Linked DNA regions of Danio rerio. The protein of the gene in region 1 purifies or fractionates together with the protein of each later gene. This does not show direct contact. Links are inferred from orthologs where the notes say so. Each region holds a gene or a part of one and is shown in the gene's direction. Other genes may lie near its edges. The genes, in order: tns2a, sntb2, dtnbb, csk and dmd.

Region 1 (4,678 bases):
TCAATATAGTGGGAAGTCATTAATTTTCAATGGAAGCCAGCGGCAACAAGCAGCGAGAAGTGAGGCGCCACATTTTCGCTGGTGTGAGCAGAGGAGAGTTGAAATCAAGTCAACTCTATGGTAATGAGCTATGATGCGGTTCAGCGGCAACCAATCGGAATGTAGAAGTCCATTAGATCGCAGACAACACAGTCCTGTGAACTTTGGTACCAACCACAGTTGTTCCTATCTATACGACAGTACGAAACAGTATTGCTGCTTCAGAATATTTCACACATATGGACGTATTGGATAGGTGGAACAAAGCCACAACACATGCAACAACTAGATCTTCCACAGTCAAATGAATTTGATAAAAGGTGTGCAACATTTTCAAACTAGAAAGCATGTTTTTATGCAGGAATGTAAGTGATTTGCTGATATGCAACAGCCCCTTTAAAAACAAGATAGCGAATTTTGACGATCTCGTCGGCAGTGCTGTAAAAGCAGACATCATCGTCGACCGGGCGGCCAGAGCAAACTTTGATACTCTCGTTGCCTGTGGTGTGAACGCATAGTAAGTGGCCCACAGTGGACGCACAATCTATAAGCAAATATAAGGTTATTTAATATAATACTATGTAGATAGCGCTTTATGGTGTTGGTCCCATCCATTTCATCACCGCGGACCGCTCAATGTTTCAACAATTACACAGCAGACCAGGGTTGGAGCAGGGTTTCGTAGGTTGCTTTCTGTTTCTTACTCATTTTGCTGCTTGTAGGTTCATTTTGACGCTTAAGTGACCGAGATAAAAGTGAGAAAATATGGTCACTTTTCAAAATTAAAGATCGTTCAGACTCGAATAATAAATAAAATTGAAATAATTAATGATTTCTTGTGTGACCCCATACCAATTGGCATCCTAGGTTACTTAATGGGATAGTTACTTAAGCGTTAAAAGAACATTCCTTGGGCATTCTGGATTACAAGGGTTTCCTACAGATTGAAAGTGTGTGATTACTACAATTGCATTGCTAGGTAATTTACTATTGCGTTTTGGCTAGTTTCTAAAAAGTTGCTATGTGGTTGCTAGGGTATTCTGGGTTGTAACTAGATTGTACATTTTGATCACTAACATGTTCAAAGTCACTGTAATATCCAAGTCACTAGAAATAGTTAAGGTCCTTTCTTAAATATACGTCTTGATTTTTTCCTACAAGATAAACATTAATCTTTTATATGGGAAAGATCAAACACACCACTCCCCAATAAATTGCATGATTTGAGGTATCGTTGGATGTGCCTCTAACACTAAAAATGAGCAATTAAGGAAGAAAAGTCAACAGTCGTTTGTTTACGTTCTGAAAGACAGATCACTTGAGCACAATGGTGTGTGTGTTTCTGGGAAAAGTAGGGGGTGGGGGCTGATATCCTCTTGATGTTGGCTTGTGAGTTGTGTACGTTTGGCTGACCGTACGCAGGCTAAGAGTGCTAATAGACTTTTGATTTAATAGGCATATTCTCACCTTTGTTTACATACGTGTGCTCACGAGAGACAGATGAGTGTGAACTGGCGAACATGTGTGTGTGTTTGAATTAAAGCCAGGAAAAGGGGAAGGGCTTCGAGTGAGCGAACAAAAACAGCTGCCTCTTGTGTGCTCGGGAAACCTCATCCAGAGAGAGGGAGAGAGAAGAGACGGACCAGCAGGGTCCAGGCCTCTATATGGGTTGCGCCTTAAGTGGGGATAGCTGTGGGGACGAGCCAGATCCAGTACCCGTGAGAGGGTCTTTAAGGAGGGAGAGAGCAAAATCCAGGGGAAACATGAGGCTGACCAAGGTGGGTGCTTCCCGTATTTGTTTACAGGTGATGAGTTCATGTTTATTTGTATGCTGCAGTGTCGGATGATCAAGTGTCTGCTTGTGGTAAAGGAACTGTGTTTGTCTGAATGTCAGTCAAAAGTTTTGCAACTTCTTGTAGCAAGAGATGTTACTCCCTTCCAGCGAAGACAGCATCAGATAAGGATGAATTTGCAACTTGTCAAAGTATATTATGCAGTACTACACCTTTGTTTTGCTTTCCTTGATTTTCATATGTTCACTAAAATAGGATAAACATTTTGAAGAAAATATGAGGTATGCTTACTTATGCAGAACTTGTGTATTTGCCAGAGTGTTGCTTGATAAGCTGCTCTGGATAGATGTAAGGGGTACTATGGGGTGTTGCTCAGGTATTCTGCTGCTTTATAGAGTATTTTTAAGAAATGTTGTAGTGTTTTGTGTGGTTGATAATGTATTTTGAATGATGCCAATTCTCTGAAGACTGATTATGCGATTGTTGAGCAAACAATTTTTTTTGTTTGTTGTTGTGGCTGTTGTTTTTGGTGCTGTATTTTGATGTTTAGTTTGGTACTCAGGTGATTGTTTTGGTTGGTTAGATTAGGTAAGTGTTAAGGGTTTGTTTCCCTTGTGTTCTGGGTAAAGGTTGGGGCTTCTAGTGGTTGCTGCTAAGATATTTTATTTGGGTGGTTAAGGTTCTTGGTTGTGTGTTCTAGGTAAAGGTTGGGGTTTCTAGTGGTTGCTGCTAAGATATTTTGATGGTTACTTTGGTACACCAGTGATAATTAGGTTAAGGTTCTTTGGTTGTGTGTTCTACATAAAAGTTTGGGTTTTCTAGTGGTTGCTGCTCAGATATTTTGATGGTTATTTTGGTACACTGGAGATGGTTTGGGTGGTTAGGTTAAGGTTCTTGGTTGTGTGTTCTGGGTAAAGTTTGGGCTTTCTAGTGGTTGCTGCTAAGATAATTTGATGGTTACTTTGGTACACTGGTGATGGTTTGGGTGGATAGGTTAAGGTTCTTGGTTGTGTGTTCTAGGTTAAGGTTGGGGTTTCCAGTGGTTGCTGCTCAGATATTTTATGGTTAATTTGGTACCCAAGTAATGGTTTGGGTGGTTAAGTTAAGGTTCTTGGTTGTGTGTTCTAGATAAAAGTTGGGGTTTCTAGTGGTTGCTGCTTAGATATTTTGATGGTTACTTTGGTACACCGGTGGTGATTAGGTTAAGGTTCTTGGTTGTGTGTTCTGGGTAAAGGTTGGGGTTTCTAGTGGTTGTTGCTAAGATATTTTGATGGTTATTTGGTACACTGGCGATGGTTTGGGTGGTTAGGTTAAGGTTCTTGGTTGTGTGTTCTGGGTAAAGGTTTGGGTTTCTAGTGGTTGCTGCTAAGATATATCGATGGTTACTTTGGTACACTGGTGGTGTTTTGGGTGGTTACGTTAAGGTTCATGGTTGTGTTCTGGGTAAAGGTTGGAGTTTCTAGTGGTTGCTGCTAGGATATTTTAATGGTTATTTTGGTACACCGATGTGGTTTGGGTGGTTAGGTTAAGGTTCTTGGTTGGATGTTCTGGGTAAAAGTTAGGGTTTCTAGTGGTTCCTGGGGTATTAAGATGGTTTCTTTGGTACTCTGGTGCTTGTAAAAGTTTTTGGTGGTTTCTTAAATATTAATACTCCAATATACAAACTGTAAGTCTCTGGAATCCCACCACTTCATGTTTTGTTTTTTTCCTGCACAATGTGAAAACTCTTAGATGATTTAGGTGACATTTAAGATACCAATGTTCTGTGTTTGTGAAAATGCTAGATTAACCATTCCAGGTCAGTCAAATTGTGTAAGGATGAGCATTTCGATTCTGAAATAACAATGTCTCTCTGATTGTTGACACTGACAAAGAAGGACTGGAAAACTTGAGGAGGGCTTGATTGTGTGTTTACATGCCTGAGAGTGAAAGTCTATAATGGTCTGGTCCCTGAGGCTGGTTCACGTGCAGTGCAGCGTGGGAACTTCAAGCCCTCTGCATGATGTCACAGAGTTGCAGCTGATCCTGTAAAGCAGGCCTGGGAATCATTATTTTTCTCTACACATTTATACAGCCATGCCACTTTCATATTTCACCGCAGATCCATAATCTGTGCCCAAACACATACAAATTTTAGTCTTGTCACTATGGGATTGCAAAAGAGTCCATCCACTGCCCTGTTGATGTTTTAATAGCAAACTTGCATAAGGTTGAGGTTTCTTTTGAATGCTTCCTCCTACAACTATAACCATAATATTTGTTTTTACAGACATTTTTGATTTTAATACAAGCCCAGTTTCTTTTCTTTTTCTGTGGCTGCAGAGTTTAATGGTAATACTCCTAAATCAGTATATGATCATGTCACGTAGAAACATTTTTGGTCTGCTGATGGGATTATAATGAAACACTGTCTCATGCAAGCATATAACCCATTTATGATGCTATAGTTACACAATCTGACATATAACTGTTGTTTTTTAGTTCCCAGTGGAACAAGATAATGCTTCCTAGATCAACTTTTGCAGGATCTGAACTTACGACCCCTCAGATCTTTAACTTCACTCTGCACCCATGCAATCATTGCAGATTGAATTATGAGTTGCCCTTGGCTATTTACTGTTTTTGTTTAACAAATAGAGGCTTTAGCTTGTCAGAATCTTACCCTCACTGAGCTGCTATTGTCTTAGCGTGACAAACAGCAAGTCTTCACTCCTGTCTCTGTCTTGTAAGTCTCCAGGCTGTTTTGCATTGTGTCATTCTTTGTCTCTAAGGGACAGCTGTACTTCGGGATGTTCACTGTTTTTGACATGGACCTTGGGATGGTGCATATGATCTTTGGGATGTCT
Region 2 (4,484 bases), on another chromosome or scaffold:
TGTGGTGTTGACACGATGATTAATTGGTACTAATGGGCCCAAAGTGTGTCATGAAAACATCTCCCACACCATTACACCACCACCACCACCAGCCTGAACTGTTGATTTAAGGCAGGATGGATCCATGCTTTCATGTTGTTGAGGCCAAATTCTGACCCGACCATCTGAATGTCACAGCAGAAATGGAGACTCATCAGAGCAGGCAACGTTTCTCCAATCTTCTATTGTTTAATTTTGGTGACCCTGTGTGAATTGTAGCCTCAGTTTCCTGTTCGTAGCTGACAGGAGCGGCACCCGGTGTGTTTGTCTGCTGCTGTAGCCCATCCGCCTCAAGGTTGGACATGTTGTGTGTTCAGAGATACTTTTCTATCTCATGTTTCTTTGTTTATATTACAATTCTGAATTAGTTTTTTTCTTCTTCCTGCAATTCTGAATTTATTAATCATTTTGAGGAGTTCATAGGCTGTTTTTTTCAATTCTAAATTTTACAACAAAGATGTTTACATGACAGAAAAATAGCTGAAATTATGTTCTTATTTATTTATTTTACTTTGTGATGGTTGTTCCTGATGATCCTCAGTTGATTCATCAGTTTTCCCTCTTTTCCATATTCGTGCTATAAACATATTCACAAACGCTTACACAAAACTGTATTTTGAATACTCCCCCCCCTCCCCCCTCAAATTCAAAACAACACGACTACATTAATTAGTGTAAGGAAAAACAATTATCATACATAAATTTTCTGTCAACTGTGATAAATAAAATAAAGCTGTGTATTAGAGTTTTTTTTTAAAGCTGAGGTGAGTCATTTAGAGTATGAGTAACACTTTGAAGCTAATGAGAACAGTCAACATCTTTTACTGCGAGTCAATATTATTTTGGGCAAAAACACTTATGTGTTATATTGACCAGCAGATTTACCAAACACATGACTTCAATACAATAGAGCTTCAATCCCTTCAGCTACAGATGAAAATGGACTTTGCTTTATGGTATCGGGATGGAAGGATTATTAAAGCTTAATTTAATTCTCTATTAAAATGAAAACAGTAAATATGAAAATTAACTAATAATCCCATCTATTTATAAAAACTTAAATTAGCTCACCAATAGTCTTTTAACTGTCTGTGAAATAGTGACAAGTTAAAATTTTATATTAAAAACGTATTTATTTTGTTTTATATTAATTATAATACTAACAATAACTATTATTATTATTTGTTGTTGGATATTAACTTATTCAACGTATAAAGATTTGAATCTGATTAATTATTAATGAGAGAGTTATCTTTGTTTTCCTACTATCTATCTTATTACAACTAAAAGCTGCATTATAATAAGAACAAAAGTCATACAGTAATGATGACACTGAAGTAATTTTACGCCATTATTTTCGCTTTGTTTCTAAATCACTGTACAGCTTTAGTGGCTTTAGTGCGGCGAGGAAAGATAAATAAGTTGACAATCCCCGCCCCTCTCATGAATAATCAATGAGATACAAATCTAACGCTTTTCTCCGGCCGTCCGGTCTAAGCAGCAGCGCGTGTTTTTAATTAAATAGTTTCTCCGTGCCGTGAGAACCCGAACTCGGAGAGCTGCAGCAATAAATACCAATGTTTAAACTTATTAAACAGATTTATTATTAAAATTTCGCTCCTCTTCCTTCCTCAGGGGAAATGTGCGTGCGAGTGGGTGTGTCGAGCGAGTTTAAACTTTAGGATGAGTTAAAGTTTGATGATGGCCGTGTGGACCCGCGCGGAGAAACAGGGTCATCTGGACCTTCTGCTGAGCGACCGCTGGGTCCGGGTGTCAGCGGAGCTCACGCGGGACAACCTCACTCTCACGGCGGAGGGAGAACCGGGCGGGCCCGCGGGTTACCCGGAGCACAATTCGCATCTGAAAAACGGCGTTTCCAATGGCAACGAACAGAACCGGGATGTGTTTACGAATCGCGTGCAATACGACAACAGCCCGGGTCGCGTTAACGGGACCGGGTCGGACTCGGAGTCCAGCGGTTACTGTGACTCGGAGGGGGTACGCAGAGTTCGGATAGTCAAGCAGGAGTCCGGCGGACTGGGGATTAGCATTAAAGGGGGACGGGAGAACCGTATGCCTATCCTAATATCAAAGATCTTCCCCGGTTTAGCTGCGGATCAGAGTCGAGCTCTGCGTGTGGGCGACGCGATACTGTCCGTCAACGGCAGCGACCTCCGCGACGCTACGCACGACGCGGCGGTGCAGGCGCTGAAGAAGGCTGGGAAGGAGGTCACGCTGGAGGGTAAGTCAATCACTCGAGCCGCGGGGATTCAGTAGGCCTTTGTAGTTTACCGTTAATCAAAACAAAGTTTTTTGAATAATTAATTATTTATGTGTTCATAATTTACACGCCTAAATAGAAACTTTGAGGTGTTTCAGGTTTTATTGTGTTGAGTTTTAACTGTTCATGTTGTAAACATTGGCTCATTTGACATATTAGATAATTCAGGTTTATAAGAGGTTTGGAAACCCCTTACTGAAGTTATGAAACTTACAGATGTGTGATGTGCATGACTGAAGGTTTTTTGTGGTAATAAGCAGATAACTTTTTTTTCTCTAATAGCAATTTTCTCCAAACACCAGGTATGATTTGAATAGGAATGGGAGTAATACAGTAAAAGAGGAATAGATAAACAGATGTACTGTATTACTGTACTTTTTTAACTTCATTTTTTTTTGGTGAAATCACAGTATTATTTTTTATTTATATATTTTTTATCTATCTAATGATTGATTTATCCCCTAAACATCTATCAATAACTCTGATTTGCAATACCCATATTCTGCAATACAAAAATTCTAATTTTGAATGATATTTTAGTTCGGTGTTGAAACACTTTAGTACGATATTTATTATTAATTATTGTCTTTGCACATTTTTTTTAATTTTAAATAAATAACATTTCATACAAGTTTTCTTCAAAATAACGCCCACTTCAGTGGCTCTTCTTCTTTGATTGGTGTTCACTGGCATGAAGGCGGAGTCAAGGTGTCATTCAGTGTGACTGACCAATAGCAAACCACAGTCAGTGTAAAAATCCAGCCCCACTATTTTTTTCCTAGTAAAGATTCTGTTTTGGGCGGCACGGTGGCTCAGTGGTTAGCACTGTCGCCTCACAGCAAGATTGTTGCTGGTTCGAGCCCCGGCTGTGCCAGTTGGCATTTCTGTGTAGAGTTTGCATGTTCTCCCCATGTTGGTGTGGGTTTCCTCCAGGTGCTCTGGTTTCCCCGCAGTCCAAACACATGCGCTATAGGGGATTTGAATAAATTGGCCGTAGTGTACGTGTGGGTGTAAATGCAAGAGTGTATGGGTGTTTCCCAGCGCTGGGTTGCGGTTGGAAGGTCATCCGCTGCATAAAACATATGCTTGATAAGTTGATGGTTCATTCCGCTGCGGCGAACCCAGATTAATAAAACGACTAAGCTGAAAAGAAAATGAATGAATGAAAGAATCTGTTTTGCGACTTTATTTTCATTAGTCTCGTACCTAAGAGTAAATCTATGTAACACGTTTTTCAAACTAAATTATATAAATTGTATGCATTTTGTGGGCCTGAAAGAATCGTTTTGACATGTAAACATTGTCTAATAAATAGTCCCACAAATTTTGTGTCGAAGTTTGTAGACTATAAAACAAAAAAACTATAAAATAAAAGCAAAAATTGTAGGTAGCATGAAAAAAATGCAGATAAAAGTCTTTAATATCTTTAAATAATGTAATTCACTTAATTAGAAATTTTATTTGTCAGCAATATTATTATTATTATTATATTACAAAATATTGGATTTGTTACTTTTGTTGATATGGTCTAAAATTTTAAGGGGATATATCATCTTATTATTTAAAAAACAACAAAAATCATGGTAATAAAAATTATTTGTATTGCAAAAACACGCGAAAAGCTGTGATTAATAAAAGATAAATATAATAAGTGGAATCATGACACATTTTTGTACAGTGACAATAAATAAAAATTTTAATTAATGACCATTTAATTTAATTAATTCTTCCTACAAAATATTATAGTTTAGTCAAATTTATTTATGCAAATGATTTATTTTTTCTGGATCGAAACCTAATATCTGATTCCTATTTTAGTGTAAATTTGGTCAGCTTACAAATATTTCTACAAATATCAGTTTTTTTACTTGGTGCTTAATTTTCATATTTACAAATAGTTAAACAAAACTGACTTAAACGCAATATTGGCACAGGCAGAGTTTACATTGGTGGAGTCCAGTGAGTGTTGTGGTATTTAAATGTCTCCCCAGCACTGGCACTGAGCCTCCAGGATAACACATTTAAGAGCCCCGTTGACTTCCATTATACGCCCTGTCCATCAGCTCAGTGAAACACATGTTGATCTGCTCAATCTCCTGCCTGAGAGACACCGAGACTGATGAGAACTGTGGAGCGGGGTCTCGTGAGATGAGCTCTGTTCACA
Region 3 (4,030 bases), on another chromosome or scaffold:
ATCACTATACTGGTGCAAAAAGAGCAGCCATGACATTCTTCAAATTGTCTCTTTTTCTATATTATGGAAGAAGAAAGTCTTATATAAAGGAAACAACATAAGAGTGAATAAAATAATGTCAACATTTTAATTTTGTGTGTGAAAGTGACAAATCTGATGCATGTAATTTTACCCAGGGGCTCAAAACTTTGATGTCATTCGCCTTTCAACGTACAGGACAGCATGTAAGCTACGATTTGTCCAGAAACGCTGCAACCGTAAGTTGTCATGTCTTTCATTTGAATGTATCATTGAATCCCCTTGTTTAGCAAGTACATTTGTTCTCGTGTGCTGGGAAAATCAACAAAATACATCCATTGTTTATTCTGGATCAGTGTTTCCCAACCGTGTTCCTGAAGGCACACCAACAGTACACATGTAACATCAAACACACCTGAATCAACTCACCAGAGCTTAAGAAGAAACTCTAAAACCTGAAGTGAATGGGTCAGATAAGGGAGACATCCAAAATCTGTACTGTTGGTGTGTCTTCAGGAACAGAGTTGGGAAACACTGTTTTGGATCATCTCACCTGTTTACTTCTCCTGTCGCAGTTCACCTAGTGGATGTGTGGAACATGATCGAAGCTTTTCGCGACAACGGGTTGAGCACGCTAGACCACAACGCCGAGATTAACGTGTCCCGCCTGGAGACCATTTTGTCCTCAATCTTCTACCAGCTCAACAAGCGGCTGCCCACCACGCACCAGATAAACGTGGAGCAGTCCATCGGCCTGCTGCTAAACTTCATCGTGGCCACTTATGACAGGTGTGTTGTTAGTAAGGGAGATTTGATTTTCTCTCAGGGGGTCCCTTGTGGCAGAATGTCCCTGCAAACCTGATGGACCGTGAGTCATGCAGTGTGCATCGTGACAAGAGTGAGTGTTTGGATGGCATATGCCTCGCTCCAAAGCATAGTGAGCTGCCTATGGAGACTGCATTTTAAGGGATTGTGAGCACACTTTAGCTGTGGTGGGTGTTTCAAAAACTATGCAGTTTAATCATTCTTGTCCACTAAGAAGCTGTACGTTGTTTTGGCTAAATTTTAAAGGCCCATTTATGTCAAGCATGATAATTATATTGATTAAGAAGCTGCTGTAAATATAAAGAATAGTCCACACCACAGATACCATTATAAAGGCACTGAGGAATCATATCACTGGACTCATTTTTTCAGAGTGTTTTTCCTGCCAGCTACCGAATGATAATAAAACTGAGTAAATCAATATGCATCCTACTTTGAAGAGCTCTCACACTTAAAGTGGCAATAATAAACAGAACGATGTTGTGCTTTGGTTTAGCGGTAATATAATTATCATTATAGTTGTAGTTCTTGGTGTGAATGAGCCCTAAAGGAGCAGTCACTATTGTTCAGTGGTTTTGCAGACAAAATCCAGTTATTTCAACAGGAATCCACTAAATCTAAGAGGCCGTTCCCTTGATGCAGACCTAAATTATGAAGTATAAGCATTAGAAGTTAGTTCATATGACTTAATTTGTGGCATAATAAATTCACGATGTGCTTTGGTTTGGCAGTAATGTTATTATCATTATAGTTATCATTATAGTGATCATTTTAAGATCAGTCTTTTACCATTGTTCAGAGATTTGTTTTTGCAGACAAAATCCCATCATTTTGACAAGAATCCAAGAAAAATCTCAATTAAAAAGTATATGCATTTAATGTGGAAAAATAGGGTGTACATTTAGTTACTATGACTTCATTTGTGGCTTAATTAATTCCCAGCTAAAAATTTTAGGTTCTAAAAAGGATCCCATTCATTCATTCATTCAATCATTTTTCTTTGGCTTAGTCCTTTATTTATCAGGGTTCACCAAAGTGGAATGAACCACCAACTATTCCAGCATATGTTTTGCATAGCAAATGCCCTTCCAGCCGCAACCCAGTACTGGGAAACACCCATACACTTTCACACTCATACACTATGGCCAATTGTCATTCATTAATTTTCCTTTGGCTTAGTCTCTTGTTTATCAGCGGTCACCACAGCGGAATGAACCACCAACTACTGGGAAACACCCATACACTCTCATTCACACAAGCACTCATGCACTACGGCCAATTTAGTTTACCCAATTCAATTATACCGACAGGCGACAGTGCTAACAACTGAGCCACCATGCCGCCCCTCCCATTAAGTTCATCCATTCTTTCATTTTCTTTTCGGCTTAGTCCCTTTATTAATCCGGAGTCGCCACAGCAGAATGAAGGAAACCCACACCAACCCTGGGAAGAACATGCAAACTCCACATAGAAATGAAACTGACCCCCAATTAAGTTATATAGTATTATTTTAACATTTAAAATGTTTTTTTGACAATGAATTTAAGTTATTTTTTGGCTTTAAGAATGTTATTAAACATCTTCTGAGTCTCATGTTATATTCGTGTTCTCACATCGTTATTTAAAACGTTATTAGAACATTTCATCCATATTATGTTAATGTTCTTAAGAACTTTTCTCTACCTTCACTCTAAAAGAATAGAGGGTTCCACACAATTCCTTCATATTAACTTAATAGTTTTTTACCAATTTAAGTGGATTGAGCGTAAATCAGTTGCCCCATAAAAACGTAAGAATTGTGTTGATTCAACTCATTTTAAGTACTTTAAGTAGTTTGAACAAGGAACAAAAGCTACGTTTTTGAGTGTTTCTCTGTAAGTTATGAAAATGTTATTGTTGAAGGTTCGTAAAATGTTCAAAATTACCAGTTTTTAGATGATGTATTAACATTTTTTTTTTTGGTTATAATAACATTACTAAAAAATTAATTTTTATTTTTATATCTCATAACAATTCAGTCTCAAGATATATTGAAGTTCTCCAAATGTTGTTTAAAATGCCATTAGAACATTCCATCTACATTATATTAATGTTCTTAGAATGTTTTTCTATCCGCATTACAAGAGTCTTCCGGAAACATTATTATAATAATGTTGCATGCTAGCATTTAGACAACTTTTAAGAAATGCTACTGGATGTTCTCAGAATACTCCATGTTAACATGTATAAAACCTATTTGTTCCTAAATCGTAGCATGTTGTTTTAATTTGTACCTTTGTTAACTTTTAAGTTCATTTAGTTATCTCAAAGAAAAAATTCAATGCTCTAATTCAGATTTGCATCGTTTTGTTGTTTTTAGAGATTCATTTAAAGCATTTGATGATGGCAAAGCTTCTCTAAATATTCAATTAATTCATTTTATGAGGTGCTTTTATTGTGTAATACTGTACACTCAAAGCTTTTTACAATCATATGAGTTTCCACCAGTGTGCAGCTAGCTTTATCTAGCAAGATAAAAGTCTCTTAATAATCTTTATTAGGGTTGACAGCGTTTCATTTTTAAATAAAGATTTTAAATACAAACTTAACTAAACTAACACATAATAAAAGTAAAAGAGAAAGCATAAATAGTAATATTTGTCAATAAATAAATATTATACACATGGACTTAAACTAAATTTTACATGAATTGTTAACTAAATCGTTTGCTAATTTAAATCCACAGAAAAAAGTTAATAAGTTACTTTAATTTTATTTATGTGTTTATTGCACATTTCCCCCCCTAATCTTTTCTTTTCCTGTACTTACTTTAAAAACCCCTGAGCTGTAGGACATTTTACATTGCCTGTTTGTGAAGCTTTGGAATAAAAAAGGCAATGGGGCTTTTAGTCATGTTACACTTCTATAGAAATCAAAAAACAAAAACAGAACGCACTATACCAAAAACCACTAGCTTAATGGAAACCTACCTATACATGTAGTTACAATACTTTCATTTAGTCTACTTACTTCTTAGCACAGGATTTAGGAAATTTACCAGGATTCTTCAAAGCCAGCTTGTAAGTAGGTGTTTGGCTGTGCTGGTGGGATTGTGGCCCTTTTAGCGCTGTCAACAATTTGTAGTCAAACATGTTCTGTTTGCAATCATAATCCAAATAATTGTATGTAAAAGTACAAAGACTTGTAT
Region 4 (4,670 bases), on another chromosome or scaffold:
TTTATTTATAAATAGTGTTTTGAACTTTCGAATTGGATTTGTGTTTTTATGAATCGTGTTTTGAATTTACTAATTGGATTTATACATTTTTAAATCATGCTTAAAATTTATGAATTGGATTTGTGTATTTATAAATTGTGTTTTGAACTTTTGAATTGGATTTGTGTATTTACAAATCATGTTTTGAACTTTTAAAATGGATTTGTGTATTCAGGAATCATTTTTTAAATCTTTCTTATTGAATTTGTGCATTTACGAATCGTGTTTTGAATTTACGAATTGGATTTGTGCATTTACGATTTTTTTTGAGCTTTTAAATTGTATTTGTGCATTTTCAAATCCTGTTATGAATTCCAAACTGGAATTTTGTATTTATGAATCGTGTTTTGAATTTACTAATTGGATTTTTGCAGCTTTAAATCCTGTTTCAAATTTATGAATTAGATTTTTGTATTTATGAATCGTGTTTTGAAATTACGAACAGGATTTGTGTAATTACAAATTGTGTTTTGAACTTTCGAATTGTGTTTTTAAAGTTACCAATTGGATTTTGTAAATGTTTCTTGTGTTGTGGATGTATGAATAATATATTGCAAATTTACTATTTTTGAGACTCATCTGGCTCCATATCAAAATGTCAGAAGCTTGTGACTTGCATTCTCAGCTAAAAATGTTCCTAATTTTTCTACTGGATAGAAAAAGAGTCACCTACCTCTTGCATTTACAAATTCACATTAAAATTCTGGTCTAAGAGTTTCTTTAAATCAGAGATGCCCAAACTAGGGCCCGCGGGCCAAAATTGGCCCATGATAATCTTTGATTCATAGAAGACATGGACAAATGATGGGGAAGGTTGGGGCAAGAGGTCGTCAGTTCTAATTTTACATAATCTTTTGTTTGTTGGTTTAATTGCAGAGCTACAAAAAAACAAAACTTTGAATGTGAATGAATCAGATTTTACCAGGGCAATGAAATCCTTATACACATTTTTTTTTTTAAATGTTGAACGATTTTTATGTTATAAATAAAATTGTTTATGGTTTTATTGTAAGAAGTACCTTACAAAATTTAAAATACATATACAAGTATTCATACGATTATAGTTTTTTTATATTATTAAATTAGGGAGTTACCATGACAACTTTAATGTAAAGCAGTTTGATATGTTTGGCTTCAGTCCACCACCCTCAATCATGTTTAGATTTTGGCCTTTCGTAAGAAAAAGTTTGGGCACCCTTGCTTTATATATTACATTTGAATGGCTTTATTGTTGCAATTCTCTTTAAAAACGCTTGCTGTCGCTCCTGCTGCAAACTTATGAATCCTACCACGGTAAGGGACTATCTTATGAATGTTAAGCAGTCAATGCTAACATTGCTCAGTGTCTATTTTGTAAACCTCGTTAATATTGACATATTCACAGTAACATTTGTCATTAATCCTGCTTTACTCTTGTTTTCGGAAAATTTTCTTTAGCCTCACATATTTAATATTGAGAAGCCATATGCCCTCGCAGTAGTAGAATTCGTAGCATTACGACGCATGCGCACAACAAACGGGGCTGTCTGAAGAAGTGCGTTTCCTTTTCAAGGGCCTGTGAATGTGTGTGTGTAAAAGACAGCTGGAGCCCTAGGGTGTGCTGCGCTTCCGTAAAGCTTAAAAACTGCTCGCTTTAGGCGGCGTAGCATTTATCGACTTCCCTGGTCAGTAATAAGCTGCAACAGTTGCGTTTTTTTGGGGGGCTGAACCGTTTGTTTTCTTTCCCGCGCTGTGTGTTTTGTATGTGAGGCGTATATATAACCGCCGCTGTCTTTAACGGTTTTTTGCGGGTATATTTGTATGCACGGACGAACCGAACATCTTTTGTCTGGGTTGATGTTAAAGGAAAGCTCGTTGGAAGATCTATTTGACGCCGAATGTGTGAATGATCACGTCTGTATCTCGTGTTGATGCATTCTGGTGGGTTTGACCCACACATGGACTAAGTGGACGATCTTAAAACATCTACAACTTCAAGGCATTTGGACACCATCATCTGCAGAACACCTATAGGTAATGTGTTTTTGTTTTCGCTAATGTAACTGCGTGATATTAACCATATTTTTAGTATCTACTTGGACGTCTCATAATGGACGCATTGTGTTTGCGAATCTGAATGCGATGGGTCTGTTTTACAGCTGTCTAAATAAGAGCCACTTGAAGCTGCTGCATGAGACAAAAACGTGTCCTTCATGTTTTGTTAATCATCTTAAATAAAGCATATGCTCAAGATGCAAAGGGTTTGTTCCCAGAATGCACTGGGTGCGAGAAGGCGAAATGGACTAATGCCATTTTGAGATGCATTGTCTTTTTTTGGACCATCCGTTCTGTTCCCCATCAGCATCATTTTGGATTATGTTGTCATGGTTTCTTGAATGTTTAATAACAACATCTGAATGTAGGTCTGGCCTGTACATAGTTGACCCATAATAATACCCTTTTTAAAAGGAAATAGTAAACTTATTTACTAATAAACACCACCAGAGTCATTTGTGACCCAACCTGTCATGGTATTTAAAAAGAAAAAAAAATCCCATGTTAAAAAGACGGTTATTCAAATCATAGCAGAAAGGTCTCTCTGTGTTTTTGCCTTTATTAATATTAATGAGTTGCATTTATAAAGGTTGAAATCCAAAGGTCACTTCCTCCTGCTAAAGTGCAGACTTTAAAGACACGCTTCCCCAAATAAGGAGAATTGTAACTATCATGCTGTTTCAAACCAGATTTCTATTGGCTGTTCTTGCTTCTAACATTTTCATAGTGAATAGAGAATGGCTTTATGATGACAAAAAGTAAAAGTGTCATAATAATGGTTCACATTGTACGTAGTCCTGTACGCAGTCAAATCTTTGGAATGGGCTTGACTGGAGAAAATGCACAAATGTGACTCCACTTGTGTACATAAACAATATTAAATGAGCAATTCCATGCAAATGTCAACCTTGCCATGAAAAAATGAAGTTTTCACTAGAAAAGCGAGCAGTTTTTACATTTTTTTTGTGTAAGGAAGTATTTTACAGTACTGTAAACATACTCAATAATGAGTTTGTTAACATGGACACCAATAATCAGATTTTTATACGATTAAGACAATACTCTGGTTAGGAGTGATTTTTGATTAATTTAATCCGATTAAGATTATAATTGAACTAAAGAGAAATCGAATTAAGACATGTGGAGTATGTCGATACTTCATTATTGAAGTGCAGAACAGACATGTAAACAGCTTAATTAAACTATTACCATCATGTAGGACTTTTTGCTGCGTTTTGCGACTGGATAGTCCACACACACACACACACGGCTGTTTGACACTATTCTTTGCACCTAGAGTCAGTTAAGGACCACAGACACATGCACTGTGAAATGCAAAGTTTTTTTTTTCCATTCAGCGAGCGGTATGAAATTCCATTAAAACAACACACATCCAACAATTCATAGTTGCATCCAATATCTTGTTTGTCACGGGTGCATGCATGAAATGTTCCTGAATGAAAGTGAAAGAACCAAACTGCAGTTAAAGTGGAAAAATGAAAACTAAAAAAACTCAAAATGACATGAAACTCTGGAGAAAATGTGGATAGCATGGTGACGCAATGATGGTAATCGAATAATGTGCTATAACATGTAAAACTTGATCATGAAAGGAACATTCAAAAAGCAACTCGTGTACACCATAATAATATTATTGTCTTAATTAGATTAAGGCAAATAATTTGATTACTGATGTAAATGTAGTCAGTGTCTCTGTCAAATTCAATTGTCAAATTGGTACAGGTGAATTGGGTACACTAAATTGTCCGTAGTGTATGAGTGTGAATGATGATGTGTAGATGTTTCCCAGGGATGGGTTGCGGCTGGAAGGGCATCCGCTACGTAAAACGTGCTGGATAAGTTGGCGGTTAATTTCGCTGTGGTGACCCCGGATTAATAAAGGGACTGAACCAAAAATAAAATGAATGAATGAATATAATATGTTTTTCATGTACTATATAGTCTGGAAGTATGTGATTTCAGACACAGCCATCGTATTCAAAGCGGAAAAAGGTTGTTTTTAGTTTTTTTACCCAGACATTTAAGAAGAATATGATGACCCACATACGAAGTATACTTGTTAATTTAAAAAACAGTGCTACAGTTAATTATCCTTGATGAGTGTGGTGTTTAGTCTGTGTAACCCCTCCCACTGAAAATTTACCCAATTATATTCCAGCATCCTGGGTTGCCATAGTGTAAAGCACATAGTATTTCTTTTCAGGCTTGAAGACTGCCTCAGTATTTGCAGGTACGGCTTGAAAAAAGCAGCCTAGGAAAACGTAATGTGCCTTTAACATAACTACATGAATTGAAAAAAATATTATTAATATGGAAGAATAAACATTAAGTAGCTGTCTAAAACTACTTTGTTGATACAGTTAGATTAGTTACATGTTATGAGCCACCACATTTCTTCAAAAATTTTGCTCTTTATTCGTTTTTAAAGTGAAGTGATATACTATTTTTGCATTCAGTTGGACACTGAGCTGCATTACATACTAGCTGACAGGTAGGTATATCAGATGAAAGTGCCAAGATATTGGATGTCTCCAGTGAAACCACTCCTGTTTTTACCTTGCGAATTCCATTTCCTG
Region 5 (4,530 bases), on another chromosome or scaffold:
AGGGTTTACAGAGAATGGTCTGAAGAAGAGAAAATATCCATTTAGCGGCAGAACAGTATCGCTGAATGCACATGTCCAACCTTGTGGTGGATGGGCTACAGCAGCAGAAGACCACACCGGGTCTTACTCCTGTCAGCTTAGAACAGGTAAGTGAGACTGCAATTAACACAAAATCACCAAAATTGGACAATAGAAGATTGGAAAATTGTTGCCTGGTCTAATGAGTTTTGATTTCTGCTGCAACATTCGGATGGTAGGGTCAGAATTTGGCGTCAACAAAATGAAAGCAAGGATCCATCCTGCCTTGTATAAACAGTTCAGGCTGGTGGTGGTGGTGGTGTAAAGGTGTGGGGGATATTTTCTTTGCACACTTTGGGCCCATTGATACCAATTGAGCATCGTGTCAACAACAAATATATGCCTAATAACATGGGTATTACAATGTTAAAGCGGTTTATAAGACATGCAAACAATTCAAAACTGTTACATCATATCTAATGATGTCTTTTTGTATTCAGAATTTGCTCCAGGTTTTCTGTGAAGTTTCGTTTGAGGGATAGGGTTAGGGTAAGGCAGTGATCCTTGTGTGTCAAATAAGAGAGATATACAAAATGTGTTGGCTGGGGGGTCCCGAGGACTGTAATTGAGAACCACTGGTGCAAGCCGATATAATCACCAAGTTGTTTTTAAAGAATAAAAAAAGTTACAAAAATGTTTATTCTTATAAAACACCAAAATGTGTGTACCTTGTATTCCTTTACATTATGGGGACCAAATTTCCTCACATGTGTAGCAATTGAATTTTGACCTCATGGGGACAAAATATATGACTATATGACAAAACTACATTTTCAAATGTATTTTTCCAGATATTTGTAAATAGTCAACAGTCACAAAAATATTGCTTAAGAGGGGTAATAATTTTGACCTTAAAATGGTTTTAAAGAAATTAAAAGCTGCTTTTACTCTAGCCGAAATAAAGCAAATAAGATTTTCTCCAGCAGAAAAAATATTATAGAAATGACTGTGAAAATTTCCTTGCTCTGTTGAAAACAGAACTCGCAGGAGGGCTAATAATTTTTACTTCAAATGTATCTAAACATACGTACACATATACTGTATATCTATATCTATCTCATTATTGTTTTGTTTTATTTTTCACTATACACCAACTATCTTCATTTTAAAATGAAGGTCGTGGGTGGTGGAGAGGCCTTAGGGTTAAAAGTCTGAACTGGTAACTAAAGATTTGGAGATTTAAAGCCCACCGGGAGCAATTTATGAGCTATAACCATTGAGCCTTTGGGCAAGGCACTTAACCCTAGATTGCTCTTAAGGGACTGCTGCTATAATAAGCGAATACTGTAAGTCGCGCATGACAAAACTGTGAAGTGTATACTTTCCTCTAAGAGCATTCATTGGCCATTTGTCACCAGACTTCTTGGTGACCAGTCCCTTTCTCGCCAGAAAATAAGCATTTGTGTTTGGGAGTGAAATGAAGCAGGCCTTCATAGTGACTCTCTATTTTAAGGCGAGCAGAGTTTGCCACCTGTCTCTGCTTCTCCAGATTCCCTGACAGCTTGTTTCCCCCTATCACAACAGTCCTCAGACTGTCTCGTCCCGGTGTCATTCACAAAAAATTCACTGCTGGATCTGAGGTTCAGTTTGTTCACAGGGCGTTGGTGAGGGCTCCTTCCTTTTTCTGTTTATAAAATTGTAGGATTAAAGGACCCAACGTTGGCTTGGATCTTATGTCATGGCCGAAGCAGTGAACCCACAGGACCAATGGGAGGAAGGTTTTGAGGACGAATTCGGAGAAATCATCAAAACTCGATCAGGTTGGAGAAATTATCTTTAATTTATTTGCTCATTAAGAACACTTTAAAAATTTTGTTTGTTTAAATTGCAAAATTTAACTAAATAATTTGTGTTTTTTTGGGGGGACAACTTAATTGTTTTATGTTCAATCCACTTAAATGTGTAAAAGTGATTAAGTTAACTTAATTTGTGTTGGGACAACATGATGTTTACAGCGAATTTTCAAACCGACTTTAGGTCAAATATGAACAATTGCAACTGTTGGGTTAAAAAACTGAGATAAAAATCAAACCCAAACAATGGGATTTTCCATAATTGGCCCAAAGTTGGGGTAAACATGATTGAGTTTACTTAATTTGTGTTGGGACAACATAATGTTTACAGTGAATTTCCAACCTAACTTTAGGTCAAATATGGACAATTGCAACTGTTGGGTTAAAATATTCAGATAAAAATCAAACCCAAATGATGGGATTTTCCATAATTGGCCCAAAGTTGTGTTTAAACAACCCAACTTATTTAGATATGGTCTCATGCAAGTGGTAGGTGTAAAATAGTATGTCTTAAAGGGACAGCTCACCCAAAACCTGTAGCCATTGACTTCCAAATTATTTGATTTTGTACTTTGGAGGTCAACAGTTACAGCCTGAAATTTCTTTGATTTGAAACCACTTGAGGGTGAGGAAATAGTGAGTACATATTAATTTTTGGGTGAACTATCTCTTTAATTCTGATTCAAAGTCAATTGTTTTACACTATCAAATTTCTCAATCATAATTTTACAGTTCGCTACAGTTTCAGTGCATTCCTTTCTACGGTCAAATTTAAAAATGAAAACACATGATTAACCAAACTTACACCAGATGAATATTTCCGCCATTTAAGAACACTCTAAAAATTGCTGCTTGTTCAAATTACTTAATTTAACTTATTTTGTGTTTTTTGGAACAACTTTTTTTAATTTGTGTTGGGACGACATGTTGTTTACAGTGAACCTAACATTAGGTCAAATATGGACAATTGCAACTGTTGGGTTAAAAATTTATATAAAAATCAAACCCAAATGATGGGATTTTCCATAATTTAACCCAAAACAACCCAGCTTTTTTTTTTAGAGAATGCTATTATCCAAGTGGTAGGTGTGAAATGACTTAAAGGGACAGTTCACCCAAAACCTGTATCCATTGACTTCCATAGTATTTTATTTACTACTATGGAAGTCAATAGTTACTGCATTCTTCAAAATATCTTCTTTTGTGTTTAGCAGAATTCATAAAGATTTGAAATCACTTGAGGGTGATGAAATAGTAAATATATATTAATTTTTGGGTGAACTATCTCTTTAATTCTGATTGAAAGTCAACTGTTTTACACAATCAAATTTCTCAATCATAGTTGTAATCGCTACAGTTTTAGTGAATTCCTTTCTACAGTCAAATTAAAAGATAAAAACATATGATTAACCAAACTTACACTACCAGATCATTATTTACGCCATTTAAGAACACCTGAAAAATTGCTGCTTATAAATTAAAATACTTAATTTAACTTAATATTTTGTGTTTTTGGGACAACTTCATTGTTTTATGTTAAATCCACTTAAATTTAATTTGCCTTGGGACACCATTAAAACAACCCAGCTTTTTTAGAGTATGGTCTCATGCAAGTGGTAGGTGTAAAATACTATGTCTTAAAGCGACACACCCAAAATCAGTATCCATTGACTTACATAGTGTTTGATTTCCTACTGTGGAAGTCAATAGTTACAGCATTTTTCCAAATGTCTTCTTTTGTGTTCAGCAAATCTCATAAAGGTTTGAAACCACTTGAGGGTGAGTAAATAGTGAGTACATTTTCATTTTGGGGCAACTATCTTTATTCTGTTTCAATGTCAACAGAGCTGTTTCAATGTCAACAGAGCTATACACAGAGCAGCAGCACGAGTGGTCTTCAATGAACCTAAACGAGCACATGTCACTCCGCTGCTAGTCCGTTTGCACTGGCTGCCAGTTGCTGCTCGCATCAAATTCAAAGCTCTGATGTTTGCCTACAAAGTTACTTCTGGCCTTGCTCCTTCTTATCTGCTCTCGCTTCTGCAGATCTATGTGCCCTCCAGAAACTTGCGTTCTGTGAATGAACGTCGCCTCGTGGTTCCATCCCAAAGGGGGAAGAAATCACTTTCGCTCACGCTCACGCTCAATCTGCCCAGTTGGTGGAATGAACTCCCTAACTGCATCAGAACAGCAGAGTCACTCGCTATTTTCAAGAAACGTCTAAAAACTCAACTATGTAGTCTCCACTACACTTCCTAATCTGTAATTGCCTCTCTGAATATCAAAAGAAATAAATAAGAAATAAATAAAATAAAATAAATACTAATACTTCCCTTCTTAGACTATACAGACCTGAAACTTGCCTATAGCACTTATTCATTGTTGCTCTTGGTTGTGTAAATTGCTTCCTTGTCCTCATTTGTAAGTCGCTTTGGATAAAAGCGTCTGCTAAATGACTAAATGTAAATGTAAAATGTACTTCAGTTTTTACAAATTTCTCAAACATTATATTAATGCCAACAATTGTATTGCATTCCTAGCCTACTCAAATAAATACTGGTTGCCTTTTATATTTAAGCCTTATGAGTCATTTGAATTCATATTATATTAAACCAGCTTAAAAAAAACTTGTGTAACTTATAAAATTAAGTTAGAACAT

Evidence for each region.
Region 2: the proteins of tns2a (region 1) and sntb2 purify together in Homo sapiens (affinity purification with mass spectrometry; 4 studies listed by BioGRID and IntAct, with this or other methods). This does not show direct contact. The link is inferred for Danio rerio from reciprocal best matches to the Homo sapiens genes TNS2 and SNTB2.
Region 3: the proteins of tns2a (region 1) and dtnbb purify together in Homo sapiens (affinity purification with mass spectrometry; 3 studies listed by BioGRID and IntAct, with this or other methods). This does not show direct contact. The link is inferred for Danio rerio from reciprocal best matches to the Homo sapiens genes TNS2 and DTNB.
Region 4: the proteins of tns2a (region 1) and csk purify together in Homo sapiens (affinity purification with mass spectrometry; 6 studies listed by BioGRID and IntAct, with this or other methods). This does not show direct contact. The link is inferred for Danio rerio from reciprocal best matches to the Homo sapiens genes TNS2 and CSK.
Region 5: the proteins of tns2a (region 1) and dmd purify together in Homo sapiens (affinity purification with mass spectrometry; 3 studies listed by BioGRID and IntAct, with this or other methods). This does not show direct contact. The link is inferred for Danio rerio from reciprocal best matches to the Homo sapiens genes TNS2 and DMD.

What each region holds. Positions count from the first base shown.
Region 1 is NC_133198.1:10,584,564-10,589,241, forward strand, and holds the start of tns2a (tensin-2), read left to right. Parts: upstream 1-1,641; 5' UTR 1,642-1,703; coding exon 1,704-1,817; intron 1,818-4,678. UniProt on the Homo sapiens protein: Tyrosine-protein phosphatase which regulates cell motility, proliferation and muscle-response to insulin. Phosphatase activity is mediated by binding to phosphatidylinositol-3,4,5-triphosphate (PtdIns(3,4,5)P3) via the SH2 domain.
Region 2 is NC_133200.1:37,488,984-37,493,467, forward strand, and holds the start of sntb2 (beta-2-syntrophin), read left to right. Parts: upstream 1-1,482; 5' UTR 1,483-1,737; coding exon 1,738-2,281; intron 2,282-4,484. UniProt on the Homo sapiens protein: Adapter protein that binds to and probably organizes the subcellular localization of a variety of membrane proteins. May link various receptors to the actin cytoskeleton and the dystrophin glycoprotein complex.
Region 3 is NC_133192.1:39,012,187-39,016,216, reverse strand, and holds part of dtnbb (dystrobrevin, beta b), read left to right. Parts: intron 1-176; coding exon 177-257; intron 258-593; coding exon 594-807; intron 808-4,030.
Region 4 is NC_133200.1:21,921,855-21,926,524, reverse strand, and holds the start of csk (tyrosine-protein kinase CSK), read left to right. Parts: upstream 1-1,703; 5' UTR 1,704-2,052; intron 2,053-4,670. UniProt on the Homo sapiens protein: Non-receptor tyrosine-protein kinase that plays an important role in the regulation of cell growth, differentiation, migration and immune response.
Region 5 is NC_133176.1:12,469,847-12,474,376, reverse strand, and holds the start of dmd (dystrophin), read left to right. Parts: upstream 1-1,626; 5' UTR 1,627-1,756; coding exon 1,757-1,838; intron 1,839-4,530. UniProt on the Homo sapiens protein: Anchors the extracellular matrix to the cytoskeleton via F-actin. Ligand for dystroglycan.